Linked DNA regions of Coturnix japonica. The protein of the gene in region 3 purifies or fractionates together with the protein of the main gene of each other region. This does not show direct contact. Links are inferred from orthologs where the notes say so. Each region holds a gene or a part of one and is shown on either strand. Other genes may lie near its edges. The genes, in order: DNA-directed RNA polymerase II subunit RPB11-a, MED9 and MED19.

The links.
Region 1: the proteins of MED19 (region 3) and DNA-directed RNA polymerase II subunit RPB11-a purify together in Homo sapiens (affinity purification with mass spectrometry; 3 studies listed by BioGRID and IntAct, with this or other methods). This does not show direct contact. The link is inferred for Coturnix japonica from reciprocal best matches to the Homo sapiens genes MED19 and POLR2J.
Region 2: the proteins of MED19 (region 3) and MED9 purify together in Homo sapiens (affinity purification with mass spectrometry; 6 studies listed by BioGRID and IntAct, counting the BioPlex papers as one, with this or other methods). This does not show direct contact. The link is inferred for Coturnix japonica from reciprocal best matches to the Homo sapiens genes MED19 and MED9.

What each region holds. Positions count from the first base shown.
Region 1 is NC_029534.1:3,079,919-3,083,664, reverse strand, and holds DNA-directed RNA polymerase II subunit RPB11-a, read left to right. Parts: upstream 1-1,352; 5' UTR 1,353-1,431; coding exon 1,432-1,484; intron 1,485-1,621; coding exon 1,622-1,711; intron 1,712-1,816; coding exon 1,817-1,991; intron 1,992-2,944; coding exon 2,945-2,980; 3' UTR 2,981-3,323; downstream 3,324-3,746. Other genes in the region: ras GTPase-activating protein 4-like, read left to right, coding at 1-279, 351-488, 557-692, 764-884, 956-1,005, 1,110-1,231; LRWD1 (leucine-rich repeat and WD repeat-containing protein 1), read right to left, coding at 3,540-3,680. UniProt on the Homo sapiens protein: Core component of RNA polymerase II (Pol II), a DNA-dependent RNA polymerase which synthesizes mRNA precursors and many functional non-coding RNAs using the four ribonucleoside triphosphates as substrates.
Region 2 is NC_029529.1:4,804,480-4,808,174, reverse strand, and holds the start of MED9 (mediator of RNA polymerase II transcription subunit 9), read right to left. Parts: upstream 2,825-3,695; 5' UTR 2,790-2,824; coding exon 2,641-2,789; intron 1-2,640.
Region 3 is NC_029520.1:7,805,553-7,808,797, forward strand, and holds MED19 (mediator of RNA polymerase II transcription subunit 19), read right to left. Parts: upstream 1,946-3,245; 5' UTR 1,923-1,945; coding exon 1,727-1,922; intron 1,586-1,726; coding exon 1,329-1,585; intron 1,262-1,328; coding exon 1,165-1,261; intron 1,083-1,164; coding exon 988-1,082; intron 851-987; coding exon 782-850; 3' UTR 517-781; downstream 1-516. Other genes in the region: TMX2 (thioredoxin-related transmembrane protein 2), read left to right, coding at 2,017-2,205, 2,472-2,532, 2,657-2,770, 3,054-3,130, 3,211-3,245. UniProt on the Homo sapiens protein: Component of the Mediator complex, a coactivator involved in the regulated transcription of nearly all RNA polymerase II-dependent genes.

The DNA.
Region 1 (3,746 bases), on a different chromosome or scaffold from region 3:
GCAGGGAGAGCCAAGGAGGAATGGCTGGCCCCGCTGCAGCCCGCCCTGCAGCACGGAGCCTCCCAGATGAGGGCCTTCATCACCCGCCTGGTGGGCACGGAGGAGGAGGAGGGTGGAGAGGAGCAGCCCTGTGCCCCCCGCAGCAACGTGGTGAAGGAGGGGCTGCTGTTTGTCCATAAGACACGGGGCAAAGGGCCGCTGCTTGCTTCTGCATCCAAGAAGCTGCACTTCTGCCTCACCAGCGAGGCACTCAGCTTCAGCAAGAGCCCCGGGGCAGAGGTAGGGGGACGTGGGGTGGTGGGATCCCATGGTGGCACGGAGGGCACCGAGCGCTGTGTCCCCAATGGCAGAGATGCGGCTCCATCGCTTTGGCCAACATCCGAGCGGCCGAGAAGGTGGAGGAGAAAAGCTTTGGGAGCTGCCACGTCATGCAGGTGGTCTATGTGGATGAGGCCGGGCAGCAGGAGACGGCGTATCTGCAGTGCAAGGTGGGCTGGGATGGGGACGGGGCTGTTTCCCATTGGGGTACTGTGTGACCTCGCTGTTTAACCCGCAGTGTGTCAATGAGCTGAACCAGTGGCTGTCTGCGCTGAGGAAGGTGTGCGGCAACAACCCGCAGCTGCTGCGCTCCTACCACCCCGGGGTCTTCAGGGGGGATAAATGGAGCTGCTGCCACCAGAAGGACAGGACGGGTACGGGCTGCTGGGTGGGGGGTGGGGGTGGTGATGTCCCCGCTATTTTCAGCCCCTGTTCTGTCCCATAGGACCGGGCTGCGGCCGGACCCGGCACAGCATCACCCTGCAGGACTGGACCGACCCGCTGCAGCCCGACGTGGAGGCGCAGCGGCTCTTCCAGCACCTGCACGGGCTGCAGCAGCCCCTCAGGTGGGACCCACAACCGGGGGCAGCCCCCAAAGCGCCCCCTGCCCCGCGGCCAACAGCCCCTTTATCCGCAGGGAGAAGTGCCGGCAGCTCATGGAGCCGGGGGACCCTCAGAACGGAGAAGGTAGAGAAAGGACCCCCAGCTCCCCATCCCCCCCATAGGCGCTGTGCTCTGGGGCTGCTCCCATTCCCGGGGGGTCTCACCGCCCCGCTCTCCCCCCCCCCCAGCCCCACCGCTGACCCCCGCGCTCCGCCGGCTCCTGGATGCGCTGCAGGACCTGGAGCGCTGTCACCGCCGGCTGCCCCCGGCCCAGCCCCCCCTGCAGGAGCTGCCGGAGCCGCAGACGTGACGGACGGACCGGGATGTGCCGGGATGGGGCTGGGGGGGGGGGGGGGGGGGGGGTCGCAGCGTGGCAATAAATGCGCAGCTCCACCCGCTCCGTGTCCGTGCCTTTATAGCGCACTGCGCACGGTCCGCCCGCACGGCAGGGGGCGCTGTGGGCGGAAGTGACGCTGTGTGCGCTGCGGGGAGCGGTGCGGAGCCGGCGGGATGAACGCGCCGCCAGCATTTGAGTCGTTCCTGCTGTTCGAAGGGGAGAAAAAGTGAGTAGGGGGCGGGATGGAGGATGGGGGGGGTCCGGTGGGGGGTTGGGGGCTGCCCGGACCGTCCCGTGCCCCCCCGGTTCCCCCCATGTCCGCCCGGGCTGTGGCAGTGAATCGCCGCCCCCTGTGCTGTGTAGGATCACCATCAACAAGGACACCAAGGTGCCCAACGCCTGTTTGTTCACCATCAACAAGGAGGATCACACGCTGGGAAACATCATCAAGTCGTGAGCTGAGGGAGCTGGGCGCTGCTTACAAGTGCTGGGGCTCTTATAAAGCTCTTACATCTATTAATGTATGTTTGTTTGCTGCTGCTTTGCCTCCTCCCCCAGGCAGCTGCTGAAGGACCCCCAGGTGCTGTTTGCAGGTTACAAGGTCCCGCACCCCCTGGAACATAAAATCATCATCCGCGTCCAAACGACCCCGGATTACAGCCCCCAGGAGGCCTTCACCAACGCCATCACCGACCTGATCAGCGAGCTGTCCCTGCTGGAGGAGAGATTCAGGGTGAGCTCAGTTCTGAGCACTGCGAGAAGCCCATCCTTTGAACCTAAGGGAAGGGCTCAGCCCAGAGCTGCTGCCATCTCGAAGATGATCAGGGGGCTGGAGCACCTCCCCTATGAGGACAGGCTGAGGGAGTTGGGTTTGTGCAGCCTGGAGAAGAGAAGGTTGCGGGGTGACCTCATTGCAGCCTTTCAGAACCTGAAGGGAACCTATAACCAGGAGGGGAGTAAACTCTTGGAAAGGGCTGACAATAGCAGGACACGGGGAAATGGTTTGAAGTTAAAAGAGGGAAGATTTAGGTTGGATGTCAGGGGGAAGTTCTTCACTAGGAGAGTGGTCAGGCCCTGGAACAGGCTGCCCAGGGAGGTTGTGGATGCCCCGTCCTTGGAGGTGTTCAAGGCCAGGTTGGACGGGGCCGTGGGCAACCTGATCTATGGGGTCTCTATGGGGAATCTATGGGGTCTCCTGGGCAACCTGATCTAGTAAATGTGTATGTTTGGTGGCCCTGCCAGGCAGGGGGGTTGAAACTACATGATCCTTGAGGTTCCTTCCAACCCGGGTCATTCTGTGATCATCTAGTCCAACCATTCCCAATACTTCCCGGCTAGATCATACTCAACAACACAACATCCAGACGTTTTCTTGAACACTCCCATGGTCGGTGACTCCACCACCTCTCTGGGCAGTGCATTCCAATGCCTGACTACCCTTTCCGCAAAGTAAAACTTCCTAATGTTCAGCCTGAATCTCCCCTGGCGCAGCTTAAAACCATTCCCTCTAGTTCTATCACTGATAACACAAGAGAAGAGGCCAACCCCCAGCTCACTACAACCTCCCTTCAGGAAGTTATAGAGCAATAAGGTCTCCCCTGAACTCATGCAGTTGTTGTTTGATGTGAAATTGATGAAATCAGTGTTTAAACCATCCACTGACGGTTCTGTTTCTGTTCTTTACAGGTTGCCATTAAAGACAAACAAGAAGGAATCGAGTGAAATCAGCCTGCTCTTAGTGTGATACACTGCTGATGAAGAACGATGTGTCTGAGTGAAATGCTTTATTTAAACCTTCATTCAATGCCAATTACTTTCCTTCCAGTCCTACTGACTTTGGCAGCAGTATTGGGAGGGGATGTTTGTATCTGACATGTCTTGTTTGATTTCATGGCTTAATTCACTAAAATGGTTTTCACTTTTCTAACTGGAGCCTCACTGTCACTATGTGCACTATGCTGTAGCTCAGTCTCACTGCCCTTATGGCAATGAGGAGATGCTGAGTGGCAATAACGGGTCACAGCCCTGGTTTCCCATTCCAAGAAGTTCAGATTCTGCCAGCAGAGTTGTTGTTTTGTTTTATTAAGTGTCATTTCTATAAAACAAATGCACAAATTGTGTAAACTTACAGGAAAAAAGCCTGGATGACTGGATGTGCTTAACGAACTCTTTTACCTTTTGCACGTAACAGCTGGTCTAGAAAACTTTATGGTTATATGGGTAACAGTCACTAATACTGCACTATTTCAAAACACGGGGAATGAACTTCTATAACAAGGAACTATGACTTCTTCCAAATGGCTGTAATGTTCACACTAGTGAGAGCAACAAGGTAAGTGAAAGTAGGGTCTGTTATCACGTTGTTTATGTAGACTTCGCTCAGGTGTTCCCCATTTGCTTGAAGCTCCGGCCATTTGAGAATCTACAGGGAGAACAGAGTTTGTGTAGGAAAGGAATGGTATCATTGTCCATGAAACTTGGGCAATAT
Region 2 (3,695 bases), on a different chromosome or scaffold from region 3:
TCCTGGTCATTTTCAGCACACCATCCAGTAACCTTAATTGCAGTCCTACAGGTTAAGACCTGGTCTGCAGCTTTCAAACACTACCACAGCCTCTCACTCTGTTTCAATTCCCATATGGGGAAGGTAAGATTACACACACACAGGTTGTGTGTGGGCACCTGGGAAAAAAGACCTCAGCCCCGTCTGTGACCTGTTGTCAAAGCAATACAAGAAATCGATGCAGTCAAACAGCTTGACAGCAGAAAATAGGAATCGTTCCCCAAAGTACCAGAGTGTGTCCAATGGCAGAGAAAACGGCATTTCGGAGCTTCAGAACGACTCTCCGGGGATGTCTACCTAATAAAGAGAAGCGACAGCTTATTTTTTAAGAGCAGCACAATTGCTTCTGCAGCTCCGTGCTTCTCGAGGATCAGCGTCGTCTGAGGCAGCGTCTGCCCTCAAACCCTCATTAGTATCTGCTTCAGCTTTGTTAGCTACAGCAAGGAGTTTTACCATTCCAGGCAAAGGCGAGACTGCTTCCAAGGCAGCGCTAATAACGAGAGCAGGCTGCTAACGGCCCCTGTAAGCTGGGAGCCTGTTCAATAGCCAGGCCCAAAATAAAACTGCTTGGCATGACCAGGGCAGAGAGGTGCCTGATTAGAACTTTGGGGAATCGTGACACGACTGAGAGCAAAACTTTTAACCAGATGGTCCCGTTCATTTCAACAGCCTGTTGGAACAAAATATTCATGACTCCCTTCTAAATAAAACCGCAGCTGGTACTATAATGTACCCCCATTATGCAGGCGTTTACGGTCAAGTTGACAGTGGAAAAATACAGGCACACACACATTGCACATCTGGGAAGGATGGGTTGGCATTGCCTTTAATCCACACGAGCTGCATGCTGGATTCAAAGGGCCGACCAGGTCCTTCCACAGCTCGTTCTCTTCTCCACATCCAAAGAATGGATGGTTGCCTGGTTGGTTGGTTGGTTTGAAGGAATAACTATTTTCAGGCTTGTTGTTGTTTTGTTTCTGATGGGAGTTTTCAAGTAATTGAAGCAGCTCCTCTGCAGGCATGGAAAGGCAGGGGGGAGAGCAAGAGTGGGAAGAGGTTCAGCTACCTGCAGTTACACAGGATTAAATGCAATGTCCAGCCACAGCCTCACAGTGCTTGGGATCTCCCTTCAAGGACTGAGATCTTCAGACCCTCCCCAGCTGCCCACCAGCTCTCCTTCACTGCTGTGAACAAATCATAACTCCATCATGTCCCACCTGCAGCTCCTGGATACACCAGCACAACCCACCACGCACAGGGACCTCACAGGTAACCTCATCTGATTATACAAGGGTGAAAGTAACAGCAAGCCCTGCCTGGGAGAACTTTCTTGGGACTCAAACAACAGGAAGGAACACGTGTCCTTGAATGTAAGCAAATGTACGCGATACATCACTGCACCCCAGCACAGTCACCTTGGAGATGTGAAATGTCTTCAGGGCTGAGTCAGTGTCAGAACAGCAGGGCCGGGCTGTGAGCCTGGCGGCGGCGTTAAAGGATAATACGTTTGCCATCTGTCAGGGACATGAGGCAACTCATCCCACTGCTCGGCTCTGCCGTCTGACCCCTCTGCAGTGCTGCTCTGAGCACCTACGTCTGCTCACCCCGTGCAGGAAATGCTGTGTGCCAACCTGGGGGGGAGCGGGGCAGTGGGAGTGGGTGGCTCAGAGGGACAGGGCACAGGATATCCCAGCACTGTCATTGTGGGTCGCCACGACTTGCTTGGTGACACACAGGAGGCTGGGAGGTCTCAGCCCGTGGATCTGGCTCACTCTGGCTCTGCACACATATACAGATGGCAGCAGGTTCAGCATCACCTCTGGATGGATCAGGCAGGGTTGAGCACAGGGACAGTGGCAGCGCAGGGGGGAAATGGAGGGTGGGTTTGAGTTCTCATAGCTCTCCTGAATCTAGGAGAGCTAGATTCTAGGCTGCCGTGTCTGTGGGGTATTCGGCCTTTCCTTGCCATGCTCCTCCAGCTGCATGGTTAATAAGGGTGAACCTCTTCTGGGTACTCAGACACACAGAACCCCAGCAGGAAACAAAGCAGCCTCAGCTCCCATAGAAGCGTGCAGGGAAAGGGCAGTCAGACCCACAACAAGGAGTGGGAATTCACGCTTCCTGTGCCCTCTGCATCACTGTGCAACGTGCCCAGGTCACAGCAGGGCGATGCCCCTACCGGGAACTCAAACATTTCTGACAGGGTTACCCTGGGCCACAAACGCTGGTTGTCAGGACCCTCGTACGAACACCTTTAACCCCACAGCATTGATTTTGAACAGGAAAGAGGATGACTCAGCCTGCACAAGCCTTCCTCTTTCTCCCAACGCCCAGAAACAGACAGTGCTGCCCTGGGACTGCCCGTCCTTTACTTATCAGCCCATCAGAGCAGCAATACGGGGCAATAACAGCTCGGCACGGCTCCTGCTGCTGCACACCCGGCCCTGCCCCACCTCGGTGACCCCAACTACGGGCCCGGCTCAGAGCAGAGCAGCTGCCAACCCCCCCATAGACCCCAGCGGGGAGAGAAAGGGCAGAGGGAGCATCCCTGCGGGGTGATGCCGTGGTGAGGCCGGCCCGGCGCTGTGCGGCCGCCGTTACCATTTGATGATGTCGTGGACGAGCGGCAGGAAGGAGAACTCCTCCTGCGCTGCTGCCGGCGGGGCGGGCGGCGGTTTCTGCTCGGTGGGCGGCTCGGCCGGCGGCGGCTCCTCGGCGGCCCCTCGGCCTGCGGACACCACCGAGGCCATGGCGGCCCCCGGCGCCGAGCAGTGACGGAGCGGGGCGGAGCTCGGCCGCTCTGTACCGCCCCGGCGGCGGCCTGGGCTGAGCATCAGATGCTGCTTGTGTGTGGGGCTCAGTTTGGGCCTGGGCAGGAGGTTGGGGTGTGGGGATGCTGCGGGCCGTGGCCTGGGGCTGAGGCCTGGGCCGGAGCGGGGCTCGGAGGCCTCCCTGGGTCCTGGGCTGTGAGGGTGGGTGTGGGGGCTGAGCCCGGGGTCAAGCTTTGGGACTGGGTCTCAGATATGGGACTGCACTGCTGCTGAGGTGTTCCCCAGCTGAGCCGGGCCTGTGCTCCCAAGGCAGTGCCCTGCACACCCACACTGAGCACCCCACAGTGTGACCTACAGCATCCCTGACCTGTGTGCAGCCCAACTGTTCCTGGCTGTCCTCGTTGGAGAGGAGGGCCATGGAGATGCTGTGAGGGCTGGAGCACCTCTCCCATATAAAGGCAGGCTGAGGGAGTTCAGCCTGGAGAAGAGAAGGGCTTTCAGGGCTTGGAACTGGAGAAACCTGAAGGAATGGAGGCAAAAATCCAGCAGCAGGGCTGAGACATCCATGAAGCTGCAAGGAGGGGAGAGGTGGGGTTCTTGGGTGCCTGGGCTGTGAGTGCAAGGGGGTGATGGAGAACACGCTGCATGGAAGGTGAGGGTGAGCAGTGCTGCCCCTGTGCACCATCAGGAGTGTGCTTCAGCAAACTGCTGCTGCCGCGTTTAAACCGCTCTGTCAATACACACTATTGTAGCACTGATAACAGCAGCCACAGTCGTGAGTTATCCTTCCTGGATTGGCTTAGAGAGCACAGATAATTTTGTTTTTTATTTGAATTCAGCTCCCGGGTTCATCAGTTAGTTATAGCCCAGGGATGACGGGAAAGG
Region 3 (3,245 bases):
TTATTATGATTAGCCATTTTAAAAACGAGGAATAAAAGGATATTTAATGAGTCACCTCAGCGGGCATGCGTGTGCTTTGTGCGGTGTCCAGGGATGGAGGAGTCCGTGAAGGATCCTGTCCTTCACTTCTCAGCTTTCCCTCCCTCGTCTGGAGTGGAAAGGAAGGGGACAAGGAGAGCCGGGCCCAGCCTTACAGGGCTGCCAGTGCCTGCGCCCTCACAGCTGGGATGTGCTTCCTTAGGGCACTTTGGGGCACAGCGCTCTCAGTGCAGGTAAGTGGAGCTGTCAGGGTTGGAACATGTCCCAGGACTCAGTGAGGCTCTGGCTCTTCTGTAGGAGCCCCCACAGGGGCAGCCCTGGGGGACATGGTGCTGAACTGGGGTCACTTGTGTCCTCCTGAGCCTTCTCTCACAGCCCAGAGAGCTGCAAGGCCTGGAGTATGATGGGACAGGCACAAGGCCTCTGCTCCTTGCCCTGCCCCGCTGGCCAACAGTCAGAGCCGCCACTGGCACCAGCTCTTCCTCAGAGCAGACTTTAATTAAAAGGTGAATAAAAAAGTGAGATCCCAATGCACCACGTTGCTTAGGTGTGGTAGGAGCCCCCATTCCAGCAGCGTCCGCGTCACCAGGTCCCCATCAGCCACACAGTGCAAGCAGGGGGGTTGCAAGGCCACGTTCTCTGCAAGCGGGGACCATGAGTGCCCACACCTCCCCGCTGTGCTCTGTGATGGGACGAGTCCACAGCTGGGGCAGGGAGCTCCATAGAGCAGCACAGCGCAGCCTCACCGCAAGCTGCTGCTGCTGCTGGCCTGCGAGCTGCCCACCCCGGGGTGCTCGGGGCTGTGTCGGTTCTGCAGAAGAAGGACAGGCGTGAGGCCTTGTGAAACCCAGTGCCAAGCCCTGCTGGAGGCCTAACGTGTGGTGCTGCCGCGGCCTGGCACGGGGCTGGTGCAGGCAGAGCAGAGCAGCACGCTGCCTCCTAACCTACCTTCTTTTTCTTTTTCTCCTTCTTCTTCCTTTTGCGCTCCGGATCCTCCTCTTTCTTCTTCTTCTTTTTCTTGTGGTCTGAGTCCGAGGGGGTTTCTGCAGGAAGCAGAGGAGGGGTGAGCGGGGCACAGAGTTACCAGGACACATGGGGTGCAGAGTTAGCAGGGCACGGTCCTACCTGGGGGCACAGGGTCCTGCGTGCGGCTCTGCTTGTGCTTGTGCTTGTTCTTCTTCTTGGGCGGCTGGATGTGCATGAGGCGGCACTGCTCCGGCAGCTGCAGGGGCTCATGTCAGCGGACCCCCTCCTTACCCCCATCCCCCCTTCCTCCCCCGGGTGCTCACCGGGCCGGCGTGCAGTCGGAACCCGGTCAGCATGGTGCCGGTGAGCGGCGTGAAGGAGCTGCCGCAGATGGGCGGCTTCTCGATGAGGGAGCGCAGGCTGCTGTTGTCGTGTGAGCCGGGCAGGTCGATCATGCCGGGCAGGTCGGGCAGGAAGTTGCTGAGCTTCTCCTTCACCTTCTTGCCGCAGAACTTGTTGTACGCGTGCTCCAGGCTGTAGTGTGTGATCAGGTTGCTGCTGCCCGTCAGCTCCGTGCCGCCTGCGGACGGACCGGCACCCTCAGCGCCCCGCCCCTCGCCGGACCGCCCGCGCCCATTGGCCCGACGAGCCGTCACTCCGCGCGTCCCGCCCGCTCATTGGCCCCGCGCCCCCCCCCCCTCCCCCGCGGCCCGGCCCGCACCCGGCAGCTCCCGCAGCAGGTAGAAGGGGCCGGTGGCGGCCTTGCGCGCCGCGTCGTCTCCCGGCGGCGGCACGGCGGCTGCTGGAGGCGGAGCGGCCCCCGCTCCCGGCCCCTTGTTGGGCCCGAAGCCCAGCGCGGCGGCGGCGGCGGCGGGAGGCGGCTCGGCCCCGCCGAACAGCGCCGAGAAGTTCTCCATCTTCCCGCCCTGCCCCGCGCGGGGCCGCCCCGCCCCTCGCGGACGTACGTGCAGCTCCGGCCAATGGGAGCGCGGCGGGCGGCCGGAGGACAAGATGGCGGTGCTGGCCCCGCTGCTGGCGCTGCTGTACTCGGTGCCGGGGCTGTGCCGCTGGCTGGCCCGGCCCTACTACCCGCTGTCCGCGCTGCTCGCCACCGCATTCCTGCTCGTCCGCAAGGTCCCGCCGCTGTGCCGCGGGCTGCCCTCACAGCGGGAGGACGGCAACCCCTGCGACTTCGACTGGGTGAGCGGCAGCACCGGGCCGGCCTGTGCCGTGGCCTACTCGGGTATCACCGGCGCTGGGTGCAGCCGAGGCGGCCCCTCTGTGCGCAGCCCCGGCTCCTGATCGAGGGCAGGCGGAGGATGAAGGCTGGAGCGGCCTGGAATGGCTGCTTGGCCTTGTGGTTGTGCTGCAGGGCTGCTCGGTTGTGCCCGAGGTGCTGGCTGTGGCTGTGGCTGTGGCTGTGGCTGTGGCTGTCACGGTGCTCACTGCGTTTCTCTCCTGTGCAGCGGGAGGTGGAGATCCTCATGTTCCTCAGCGCCATCGTCATGATGAAGAACCGGCGCTCCAGTGAGTTGGGGCAGTGCTGGGTTGAGTATAAGCTGCTGATGGGGTGTCTCTGTACTGGAAACAGTTGAGGGATGAGAGTGAAAAGAGACGTGGCCCCATCTCTGATTTCTTCCCTCCTTCCCAGTCACTGTGGAGCAGCACATTGGGAACATCTTCATGTTCAGCAAAGTGGCCAACGCCATCCTCTTCTTCCGTCTTGACATCCGCATGGGCCTGCTCTACCTCACGCTCTGCATCGGTGAGACACGTGGGGAAGTGGGGGGGGATCCGTAATGCAGGGGCTGTAACAGTGCTCCTGTCAGGCCTTGTCTCTGCCCATCCTGTGCATTGCCTTCCTCAAATGGGGCTGGAGCCATCTTGCCTTGTGCTGCTGCTGTCTTTGTAGCCATACAGGCTGCTCTGGGGAAGGAGGAGCCTCCCTCAGACTAAGCCTGTGTCTCTTGGGCATTCCAGAAGTGGAAAAAAGGGGGCAGAGGCCTCGCTCCAGGTGGGCGCTGGGCTCAGGGATGCTGTTATTGCAGTGTTCCTGATGACCTGCAAGCCACCCCTTTACATGGGACCTGAGTATATCAAGTACTTCAACGATAAGACCATAGATGTGAGTATCTCCTACCCAGTGTGAGTTGGCGTGGGGTGCCGGGCTCCCTGCCTACCATCCCCTGTTGACTCGCGTGGCAGGAGGAGCTGGAACGAGACAAGCGGGTGACCTGGAT